2 linked regions of the Caenorhabditis elegans genome follow. The protein of the gene in region 2 purifies or fractionates together with the protein of the main gene of each other region. This does not show direct contact. Each region holds a gene or a part of one and is shown on either strand. Other genes may lie near its edges. The genes, in order: ssb-1 and Y25C1A.8.

What was found.
Region 1: the proteins of Y25C1A.8 (region 2) and ssb-1 fractionate together in Caenorhabditis elegans (co-fractionation; one large-scale study listed by BioGRID). This does not show direct contact.

Annotation. Positions count from the first base shown.
Region 1 is NC_003279.8:4,632,135-4,636,206, reverse strand, and holds ssb-1 (Lupus La protein), read right to left. Parts: upstream 2,105-4,072; 5' UTR 2,098-2,104; coding exon 1,965-2,097; intron 1,918-1,964; coding exon 1,709-1,917; intron 1,654-1,708; coding exon 805-1,653; 3' UTR 592-804; downstream 1-591. Other genes in the region: acbp-1 (Acyl-CoA-binding protein homolog 1), read left to right, coding at 144-392; ubr-4 (UBR-type domain-containing protein), read left to right, coding at 2,860-2,977, 3,095-3,611.
Region 2 is NC_003280.10:3,070,849-3,078,753, forward strand, and holds Y25C1A.8 (Zinc finger Ran-binding domain-containing protein 2), read right to left. Parts: upstream 6,106-7,905; 5' UTR 6,099-6,105; coding exon 5,966-6,098; intron 5,920-5,965; coding exon 5,820-5,919; intron 5,061-5,819; coding exon 4,874-5,060; intron 3,782-4,873; coding exon 3,513-3,781; intron 2,254-3,512; coding exon 2,032-2,253; intron 1,548-2,031; exon of another isoform or gene 1,497-1,547; intron 754-1,496; coding exon 627-753; 3' UTR 336-626; downstream 1-335. Other genes in the region: Y25C1A.7 (Yip1 domain-containing protein), read right to left, coding at 171-189.

The sequences.
Region 1 (4,072 bases), on a different chromosome or scaffold from region 2:
CGGAGGGAACTTAGTCAAAATTGAAAAAGAGACATTTTTATAATTTGGCGATTTTTTTCTGAATTTGAGACTACTTTAGATTTTTTGAAGCAAAATGTTGATATTTTCCCAATAAAATCTCACTAAGTCTTTTCAATTTTCAGTTCGACGACGCTGCTGCCACCGTTAAGACCCTCAAGACTTCCCCATCGAATGATGAGCTTCTCAAGCTCTATGCTCTGTTCAAACAAGGAACCGTCGGCGACAACACCACCGATAAGCCAGGAATGTTCGATTTGAAGGGAAAAGCCAAGTGGTCTGCCTGGGATGAGAAGAAGGGACTCGCAAAGGATGATGCTCAGAAGGCCTATGTTGCTCTTGTTGAGGAGCTCATCGCCAAGTACGGAGCCTAAATAAATTCTGTTTGATAATACGTTTTTTTAACATTTATATTTTTGTAATGAAGATTCTGTGATTCCGAAGAATTTAGACATAAAGTTGCCTATTTGATCAGCAAACTTGAACTTTCAGAAGAATGCATTTTCCATGTTCCCTGTTCCGAGTGATCTGCAATTTCTTTTTTTCCGGTCTGCTACTCTAAAACTTTGGTTTATCCGAATAATTTATAAATCAAAACCGCAACTCTTTTAAATTGGTAATAATACAGTAAAAGAGATGTTAAAAAGAGTGAGAAGTCAACAAAATGAGGGTATTCAAGATTAATGAATGGGGGGACAACACAACAATAATGATAACAACAAAAAATGGAGGAAAAAGTAAAAAAAAAAGAATGAGATTTTTGGGTTTGTTCAACAAAAGATGAAATTACTCGGCGGCAGCAGCAGCTGGAGCACCATCCTCAGCGAACACAGTACGCTTAGCCTTTGGCTCATCAGATCCATCTGCACCTTCATCGTTTGCTGACCGCTTATCACCTCGGCGGTCTCCGCGTCCACCTCTTCCACCACGACCTCCACGACCACCGCGGCCTCCTCGTCCGCCACGACCACCGCGTCCTCCACGTCCACCTCCTTGCCTCTGATTCTTTCTGGCATTGAACTCTGTCCAGTATTTCTCCTCCTCTTCTCCATCCAAAACTCGTGCGGAGAGCTCAGCCTCTTGAAGAATGACTTTTCCATCAGTTCCAGCTGCAACAGCGTTGTCCCAGGCCTTCTGCGCTCCTTCGCTGTCATTGTTGAAGCGGATTTCGGCTGTTTTGCCTCCATTTTCATGTGCAACGTATCCAACAGATCCGTGCAATTTGAAGAAAGTCTTGATGCTGTCAATAGTTGAATCAGGTCCAAGTCCATCAACGGCCAGAATGAGACCTTTCTCGTAACGGACAGCGTGCTGAGCCTTTTCTGATTCAATCGCTTCAGAAGTATTCTTAGCTGATTTGGCAGCCTTGTTTGCAGCACGAGCTTCCTTGGTTTCTTTGTTCTTCAGAGTCCAATACTCATCTTGCATCATCTTGGTCAACTCTGTCTCTCCGAACTTAACTTCAGCCTTTTGTGCGGCTTCGGCCTCCTCTCTAGTTTTGTAAGTGATGAACACACTTCCTTTGAAGGTTCTGTCTCCTGGCTTCAAGCGACGCATAAGAACGTTCTCGGTTTCTCCGAATTGATTGGCCCATTGAATAATGTCGTCCAATTGGGTGTCAGTGCTGAATCCTTTCTGAAAAATGAGAAATTGATAATGTAAAGACAAAATCAGAAAGATACAAACGTACCATATACACAGTTCTGTGCTTGATTTTTTGCCAGTACTCCAACGAGTTCTCCGGTACTGGATTCTCTTCGTTTCTGCGGATTTTCTGGTTGTCTTCGGAGACGCTGATTATTCCCGAACCAGAGTTCTTGACAGCGTTGGCAATCTTTTCAGTGTCCTTGCTGATCGAGGCTAGGCGGTTGAAATTGAGCATCGTGGTAATTGGGACCCCTGAAATGAAAAATCAACAATCTTAGAATTGAAGAAAAACAACTTACATCCATCGTCTTCCTTGAGTTTTTCCTGGAGGAACTTGTCTCTTGGAAGATTGATGTTTCCGAAGTAATACTCCAATTGCTTAATGATCTTCTGATCAGCATCGTCGTGAACGGCGGCAGCGGTCTCACCCATTTTCTTGCTGAATAATACAAATTAACAGAGAATACAACAGAAACGAAAACGAAACAGAAGAAACAAGGCATGTAACATTTTGGAACAAATCTTACTTCAAACTTCGACTTTCAGTAATGCGAAAACTCATTTAACGTGTTTTCTAATTCCTGAAGTTGATTGCTCGATAATTAAACTGAACATAATCAAACTAGGTGAAATTAGGCCTAGAACGCCTAAAAACTAGGGAATTTGAGATTTTCTCGAAGTATATTTTCCAAAAGTTGATTATTTAAATATTAAATGTTAATTTTAATTTGATTTTCTTTTAAAAAATGTAAAAAAATAAAGGAATAACAGCGACCGATAAAAAGAAAATATAAAAAATGTGTGCAATGAGTTTGAAGTTTCGAAAATGATTTTTTGCAACCCTGGCACACACTTTATGCAAAAACGGCGCACGCAATTGATGCTCCGCCCACTTGTTATTTATTATTTTTGTTCGTTTTTTTGTTGTTCTTCTGTTTTTCCTCTGTTGAGATGGGAAATTTTGATGAATTTTCGATTAAAAATAATAATAAAATAACGAAAATTTCGAGAAACAAAAGTTTCAGCTGATAAAACTTTGTAAAACAAAGAAAACCTCTGTATTTCTTTTTTGTTTATTTATATTGCCTCGTGATTGCGAAAGTTAACGCAATACATCTTGCTTTGTTGAAATATTATATCGATTTTCTAATCAATTATTTCCAGAAAATACAAAATTAATTGAAATTTCGATTAATGGATCCGCGTGAAACGGCAATCGGACTTGTCCGATATGTCACCGAAAATGCGGCAAAGGATTTCGACGGAGAATCGATTGCAGCAATTATTTACAGACTACGGGTTGTTGAAAATTGTAAGGAATTCTAGAATGATTTTATTTACATGCTTTTTTGGGTGGAAAACACCAAAAAAATCCTTTTTTTTCCAACAAAAAAAACCCTGATCCGTTCTGAATCTATTATTTTTCCAGATGTAAGCAGCGATGTCGACATTATCTGCGAAGCAATGCGAATTTTAATCAAAAAACTTGTAAATCTACCTCCAATAACATTTTCTCCGGATGTTTGGATGCCTATAATGACATCTATAACCGAAGGTGCAATTGAACCACAATGGCGAATCATGATGGAATCAATCGATATTTCCAAGTTTTCTTCGACTTCTTCTAATTTTGTGCATATGGATTCCATTACTGCATCTTCTACAAAATGTTCCGAACAGATCACATCAATTTGCAAGGGATTCGCTCTTGAATTCGGATTGACTCGTCGACTTTTCTCAGCTATTTGGAACACTGATCTTGAAGAAACAGCGCGTAAAATGATGAATCAGGAGTGGGATTCTGTGAAAATCGATTCAAGCCCAGACTCGGCGAAACAAGCGGCTGGTCTTATTGAGAAGAGCATTTTTGATTTATTCTCCGAGATGAAGGATCATGAAACATTCGCGAACGAATTGTACTATGCAGCGTTGGCGAGAATTTTGAAGTATGGAAGTTTAAATTTTAAGAAAAAATTAAAAAAATTAATTAAAGCCCCCGAAAGTTTTCAACAATAATAAGTACATCAAGTTTTATTGATCTTGTTAGGTATTTGGTGGCAAAACCGAAAATTCAAACATTTCTGACTAGTTTCACCAATTTTCAAGCACTTTTTGTCTTTTTTTGTTTAGTTTTCCGTCGTTTTAATGAATTTTATGCCAAAGTTGATGAAATGAAATTCATAAACAAATTAAAAAATTCTTATTCACTTTTCAACTTCAAATGCATTCTTTTATTTTAAAAAACGAAGAAAAATGCTTGAAAATGGGCGAAACCAATCAAAAAAATGTTTGAAATTACGGTTTTACCTCAAAATCAGGTGCCGCCGAATTTGTTTTCGATTTTTCGTTTTTTTTTTGAACAAAACCGAAAAATCGAAAATTTTCATTTTTGGCAAAACCGAAAAAA
Region 2 (7,905 bases):
TTCCGGCTTAAAATCGCCAATTTTCGAGCTAAAAATCCTAGTTACCAAGATTAACATCCTCCCATTTTTGCGAAGGCGGCGCTGGTTGAGCCATTGTTAAAATCGAAAAATAAATTTTTTTTCGCAATTTTCTACTGTATTTTTTTGTTTAAAAAATTTTGCCAACTCACTTTGAAAGTTTAAATCCATTTCGGGCTGTCACGTTGTTGGGTTTCTAGAAATTATATTAAAAATTGTAAAATTTCGAGAAAAAATAGGTAAAAATAGATAAAAATCGGCTAGAAACCGTGTGGAAAAAGTCAGAAAAATGCGAAAAATCAATAAAATTACAGAGAAAATTCAAAAATTTTTCACAAAAATATGATAAAAACCGTGAGAAATTCGATATTTTGAGATGATTTTTCAAGAGAAAACGGAGAAAAAATCGGGATTTTGAGCAACAAAAATTAATAAAATAGTGGAAAAAAAACGGTTAAAAACGGAGAATTTTCAAGCAAAAAATCAATAAAATAATGGAAAAATTGGGTAAAAACTAGCAATTTTTAACGGAAAAACTGGTGGTTTTAGAGCGAAAAAATCAATAAAATTGTGAAAAAATGGCGAAAAAACGGCGAAATTTAGCGTTTTTATCGTCGAAATCTGTCTCTCGATCGGCTTCTTCGTCGCTCTTTTTCTCTGCGTCTCTCGTCGTCTCGGCGTCTATCACTGGTGGTGCCACGTGGCGGGGAACGGCGGCGTTCGCGAGAACGAGATCTGCAAAAAAAATGGGGAATTTTGGCTGGAAACGGGGAAAAGTGCGGAAAAAATCGATTTTTAAGCTTAAAAATCCCATTTTAAAGCAATTTTGAGCAAAAATTTGGCAAATTTATCGATTTTCCGGCAGTTTTTTGTATTTTTTCGTCGATTTTTTAGGAAATTTGCACGATTTTCGACGGTTTTTTCCGAGAAAATTTGGAAAAATTCAAGAAAAATCGCATTTTGACCTCGAAATTCCAATTTTAGAGCAATTTTCAGCGAAAATTTGGCAAATTTATCGATTTTCCGGCAGTTTTTTTGTATTTTTTCGTCGATTTTTTAGGAAATTTGCACGATTTTCGAGGGTTTCGCTTCAAAAAATTTTAAAAAACTCTCAGAAAATTCACATTTTGAGCTGAAAATTTAAAATTCCGGCAGTTATTTTGTACTTTTTTCGTTGATTTCTAGCAAATTTACACAATTTTCGAAGGTTTCTTACAGGAAAAATGGCAAAAAATTCATGAAAATTCGCATTTTTGAGCTCGAAAAATCTGATTTTACAGCAAAAAACTGGCAAATTTTTTTTTAATTTTCTGGCGATTTTCAGCCAATTTTCGGCCAATATTCAGCAAATTTCTTCCATTTTTAGGCACAATTTCGACGAATTTTCAGGGAATTTTCTGCTAAATTTAGCGAATTTTCAACGAATTTTTGGCGTATTTAAATGATTTTTCAACGAATTTTCATCGAATTTTCGGCAATTTTCTGCCATTTTTTGGCGAATTTTCAGCGTATTTTAGCGAATTTTTAGGGAATTTTCAAAGAATTTTCAGGAAATTTTCAGGGAATTTTCGGCGAATTTTTGGCGTATTTTAGCGAATTTTTAGGGAATTTTCAAAGGATTCTCAGGAAATTTTCAGGGAATTTTCATCCATTTTTCAGCGAATTTTAGGCAATTTTCGGTGAATTTTCAGCGAATTTTCGGGGAATTTTCGACGAATTTTCGAGGAATTTTCGGCGAATTTTCGGGGAATTTTCGGCGAATTTTTGGCGAATTTTCAGCCATTTTTCAGGGAGTTCTTATTTCATTCAATTTCGACGAATTTTCAGCGAAATTCGGCCATTTTTAAGTAATTTTTTGGCGAATTTTCAGCGATTTTCCAGCCAATTTAGGCCATTTTTTAGAGAATTTTCATCCATTTTTCAGCGAATTTTAGGCAATTTTCGGTGAATTTTCGGGTAATTTTCGACGAATTTCCAGCGATTTTTCAGCCAATTTTCAGCAAATTTCCGCACCTCTTGCGATCTCTCCGATCATCCCGATAACTTCTTTCTCGGCTTCTACTCCGACTTCTTTTTCCTCTCTTTCTATCACGATCTCTCGGTGAGTTGCTCCGTTTCCGATGGCTTTCACGATCCCTTTCTCGTGATGTTTTGTGCATTTTTCGACGATCTTTTTCCTTTTCATCTTCACTTTCTGGGCAAGAGCATTCACCGCCCGAGCATGAGCATGAGCATCTGAAAATTTTAGATTGGTTTTTTTTTTGGGATTTTCTGTAGGAAAAAGTGATTTTTCTGAAGTTTTTGAGGCAGAAAATGTGAAAATTGAGCAATTTTGAGCACTAAAAACCGCATTTTCAGTGAATTTTTGGCATTTTCCTACTGAAAAATTAATTTTTCTCAACTTTTTGAGGCAAAAAAACCGCAAAATTCATGAATTGTGAGCATTTTTCAGCTTTTTCGCAGCGAAAAACCGACTTTTCTTAACTTTTTCAGTTAAAAAATATTAAAATTGATCAATTTTAAGTCCGAAAATCGATATTTTCAGTGAATTTTTTGGCATTTTCGCGTGATTTCATTGCTTTTTTAGGTAGAGAATATGAAAATTGAGCCAATTTTCAGCAATTTTCAGCTTTTTCGCCGAGAAAAAGTGATTTTTCTGTAATTTTTGAGGTAGAAAATGTGAAAATTGAGCAATTTTGAGCACTAAAAACGGCATTTTCAGTGAATTTTTGGGATTTTCAGTAGGAAAAAATGATTTTTCTGTAGTTTTTGAGGCAGAAAATGTGAAAATTGAGCAATTTTAAGTACGAAAATCGATATTTTCAGGAAAAGTTTGGTATTTTCCCACTGAAAAAGTGATTTTTCTGTATTTTTTAAGGTAGAAAATCGAAAAATTGATGGATTTTGAGCAATTTTCACCTTTTTCGCGGAGAAAAAGTGATTTTTTCAATTTTTTGAGGAAGAACATCGATATTTTCATCAAATTTTTAGCATTTTCCCGATGAAAACTTGATTTTTCTCTGAAATTTAGACGTTTTTAGTCGAAAAATTCAATTTTCTGTGATTTTTAAGCATTTTTCCAGGTAGAATTATAAAAATGTACACAATTTTCAGCCTTTTCAGCCAGTTTTCGGGCAAATTTTCGAGTTTTTCAGCGAATTTAAGGAGGGATTTTCAGAGAATAAGTATGGTTTTAGGTTGTTTTGATGCAAATTTTCTAAATTTTAAGCTGAATTATTCAATTTTTAGTCAATTTAAAATTGATTTTCCGCTACAAAGCGGGTCATTTTTTCGATTTTAGCAACGTTTCAGCGAAAAAATTCAATTTTTCTGGTAAAAAAACGTCAATTTCCTCAATTTTCGGTCAATTTTTCTCAATTTTTAGCGATTTTTCGCCAATTTCAGTCAAGTTTTGGCGAATTTTAGCGATTTTCCTCATTTTTTCGCCAATTTTCGTCAATTTTCATCCATTTTTCCTCATTTTTCGCACTAACTCGCTGTCATCACAGGCTTCCGAGCCAGCTGCCGCCACCGCCACAATTTTGCTCTTCAAATTCTCGACTTTTTCCACTAATTCCGGATCGGAATCAAAATCGAAATTATATTTTCCAAGATCTTCTCCATCCTCATCTTCATCTTCATCGGCTTCATCGTCTTCGTCGGCTTCATCTTCTCCACGTGGAGTCCGTTTTTTCAAATCATCTTTTACAGCAATTTCTTCATCATCCGAAGCTTCTCCTTCCTCCATATCTCGAAATTGATCCTGAAAAGTTGAATTTTTTAGTGAAAAATTGGTAAAAATCGATAGAAAATGGTGATTTTTAGCTGAAATTTTGGATTTTTAACCGAAAAATTGAGAATTTTTCGATTTTTAAGCAAAAAAAATCTGCTAAATTCCAAGTTTTTTGACTGAAAAACAGGGTTTAGGATTAAAATCGAAATTTTTGTAGTATTTTTTTCGATTTTTCGGCTGAAAACTGTCAAAAATTGGAGAAAATCGATAGAAAATGGAGATTTTTACCAAAAATTCAAAAATTTTCAGTAAAAATCTGATTTTTAAGCTAAAAAATCGGACTTTTTAGTGCAAAAAAAATTGAAAAAATCGAGAAAAAAATGCAGATTTTTAGCCCAAAAATTGAGAATTTTCAGTAAAAATCTGATTTTTTAGCTTAAAAAACCGATATTTTTCGATTTTTGAGTGAAAAATGGAAAAAAATCGATAGAAAATGCATTTTTAGCTGAAATTTTGGATTTTTTTAGCCTAAAAACCGGAATTTTTCGATTTTTAAGCTAAAAAATTGATTTTTTCAGTGAAAAATGGAAAAAAATCGATAGAAAATGCATTTTTTAGCTGAAATTTTGGATTTTTTAGCCTAAAAACCGGAATTTTTCGATTTTTAAGCTAAAAATTGGCATTTTTTACTGGAAAAAAATCGAAAAAATCGATTGAAAATGGAGATTTTTAGCCCAAAAATTGGAAATTTTCAGTAAAAACCTAATTTTTTAGGTTAAAAACCGGGATTTTCCGATTTTTACGCCAAAAAAACGGAATTTTTGACTGAAAATTCGGGGTTTCAACTGGATTTTGAAGAGTTTTAGGGTTAAAAATGGTCAAAAATTCAATTTTTCTGATGTTTTTGAGCATTTTTCATGCTTCAGAGTGATTTTCTGGTCATTTCCAGCGTATTTTGACGATTTTTATTCATTTTCTGGCGTTTTTCGATGATTTTTATCCATTTTCAGGTTTTTTTTGAGCATTTTCCGGGGCTTTTTGATGATTTTTATCCATTTTCTGACGTTTCTGGGCCGTTTTTCGTGTTTTTTCGCCCGATTTCCATCCGATTTCCGCACGAACCTCACCCTTTTTCTTCTTTTTCCGCCCAAACTCGTCGAATTCCTCATCATAATCGCGTTTTACGTATTCAACGTTCTGCCGATCATTATATCCACCTCCATAGCCTGTTCTACGCTCCAAATCCGCCAATTTTGGAGCATTACACACGTTACACGTCCGTCGGCGAGCCCAGTTAACGTTTCCGCACCTGGAAATTGGGTTTTTTCAATTTTTTCAGGCAAAAATTCCGATTTTTTAGCTTAAAAATCAAAAAATCTCGGTTTTTATGCTTAAAAAGCTAGGTTTTTACTGAAAATTTCCAAATTTTTCTGCTAAAATCTGCATTTTCAATCGAGTTTTTCAATTTTTTCAGGCAAAAAATCCGATTTTTTAGCTTAAAAATCGAAAAATCCCAGTTTTTAAGCTTAAAAAATAGATTTTTACTGAAAATTTCCAACTTTTTCGGTTAAAAATCTGCATTTTTAATCGAGTTTTTCAATTTTTTCAGGCAAAAATGCCAATTTTTTTGCTGAAAAATCGAAAAATCTCGGTTTTTAAGCGTAAAAACTAGATTTTTACTGAAAGTTTTCAATTTTTGGGCTAGAAATCTGCATTTTCTATCAATTTTTTCAATATTTTCAAGCGAAAATTTTGATTTTTAGCTTAAAAATCGAAAAATCCCAGTTTTTATGCTAAAAAAACAGATTTTTACTGAAAATTTTCAATTTTTCAGCAAAAAATCTGCATTTTTTTCCGATTTTTTCAACTTTTTCAGGCAAAAATGCCAATTTTTTAGCTTAAAAATCGAAAAATCCCAGTTTTTAAGCTTAAAAAATAGATTTTTACTGAAAATTTCCAATTTTTAATCTTTTTTTCAATTTTTTCAGGCAAAAATCCCGGTTTTTTAGCTTAAAAACTAGGTTTTTACTGAAAATTTCCAATTTTTCGGTAAAAATCAAAATCTTACTTTGAACAAACCCAATCTTCAGCTGCAAATAGTCCTTTCGATTTTTCCGCCTGCTCCTTGCCCAGCTCCTTGCCAATTTTGCTTTTCGCGCGCGGTTTCGCTGAAAATCGATAATTTTTGGGGTGAAAAATCGTCGAAAACCTCACGTTTTCCATATTCATCACATACAAGAAGTGATTCTTCGTTTACTTTGGCACATTTCGAGTCGACACACGCCCATTCACCGTCTTTCAGCGCTCGACGCTTTTGTTCTCGATCATCGTCGTATTTCGACGACATTTACTGACTGAAATCGGGTTTTTATTGCGTTTTTTTGAATAAAAAATAAAAAATCACTAGGAATTCGTGAAAAAAACACGAAAAACCGAGAGAACTTAAGCTTTTTGTGTCGATTTCCGTGTAAATTATCACATTTCAAAATGCGGCCGGGTCTCGCCACGATTTGCCCGCCGCTGTGTCACGGGGTACGGTGGATGGCGAGAACCACGTCACTGTGCGAGAAATCTAGATTCCAATCTTTTTCCGGCGATTTACGTGGATTTTTGCCGGTTTTCAGCGGATTTTTTCGTTTTTTCGTGGGTTTTTGAGGTTAAAAATTGATTTTTGAAGCTTTTAAAGCTATATTTCAGTCGAAAAAGCGGCAAAAATCGATAAAAAACAGGTAGAAAGAGTGAAAAGTGACGTGGCGTTGAATTAGGTCAATTTAAATCAATTTGTCGTTGAAAATTGGGTTTTACAGCTTTAAAGCCTAGATTTCTGTCAAAAAATCAATAAAAACCAGGCGAAATGAGAGAATTTTGTGAAAAATCAAGTTTCGCAACTTTTTCCGTAGTTTTCTGTGGATTTTTGCGATTTTTTTCCATTAGAAATTCGATTTTCTGTGTTTTTTGCAGAAAAAGTTACAGTTTTTGCTGAAAAATGCGATTTTTTCAGGCAAAAACGACAAAAAATCCCATTATCAGCAGAATTTTGGTGGTTTTCTCAGTATTTTTTTCTGAAAAATGCAATTTTTTCAGCCAAAACTGGCAAAAATTGCATTATTAGCAACAATTTGTGTGATTTTTCAGATTTCTAGCTGAAAAATGCAATTTTTTTCAGCTAAAACTAACAAAAATCGCATTTTTTGTGGATTTTTGCAACTTTTCGCGTTTTTTTTTCCATTAAAAATTAAGTTTTAAGGCAAAAAAAGCGAATTTTCGCGGGGTTTTACCACAAAAAAAAACCGAGGGAAAGGCGAATTTTGCATACAATTGTCCAAAAAATTGAATTTTTTCAATTTTTTTACAAGAACAGTCAGAAAATTTGCATTTTTAGTAAAAAATTTGGCATTTTTTACTGAAAAAATGGAAAAAATCGATTGAAAATGGGGATTTTTAGCCGAAAATTTGGAAATTTTCAGTAAAAATCTGATTTTTTTAGCTTAAAAACCGATATTTTTCGATTTTTAAGCTAAAAAATTGATTTTTTCAGTGAAAAATGGAAAAAATCGATTGAAAATGGGGATTTTTAGCCGAAAATTTGGAAATTTTCAGTAAAAATCTGATTTTTTAGCTTAAAAACCGATATTTTTCGATTTTTAAGCTAAAAAATTGATTTTTTCAGTGAAAAATGGAAAAAATCGATTGAAAATGGGGATTGTTAGCCGAAAATTTGGAAATTTTCAGTAAACACCTAATTTTTAGGTTAAAAGCCGGGATTTTCCGATTTTTACGCCAAAAAACGGAATTTTTGACTAAAAAATCGGGTTTTCAGCTGGATTTCGAAGAGTTTTAGGGTTAAAAATGGTCAAAAATTCAATTTTTCTGATGTTTTTGATTTTTCTGATGTTTTTGAGCATTTTTCATGCTTCAGAGTGATTTTCTTGTCATTTACAGCGTTTTTTGATGATTTTTATCCATTTTCTGACGTTTTTGGGCATTTTTCATGCTTAAAGGCGATTTTCGGGGGTTTTCCAGCGTATTTTGACGATTTTTATTCATTTTCTGGCGTTTTTCGATGATTTTCGATGATTTTTCACAGAAAAATGCGATTTAGCTGGAAAATTCAATTTTTTCACAAATTTTTTTTTAAAACGTGAACTTTCTCT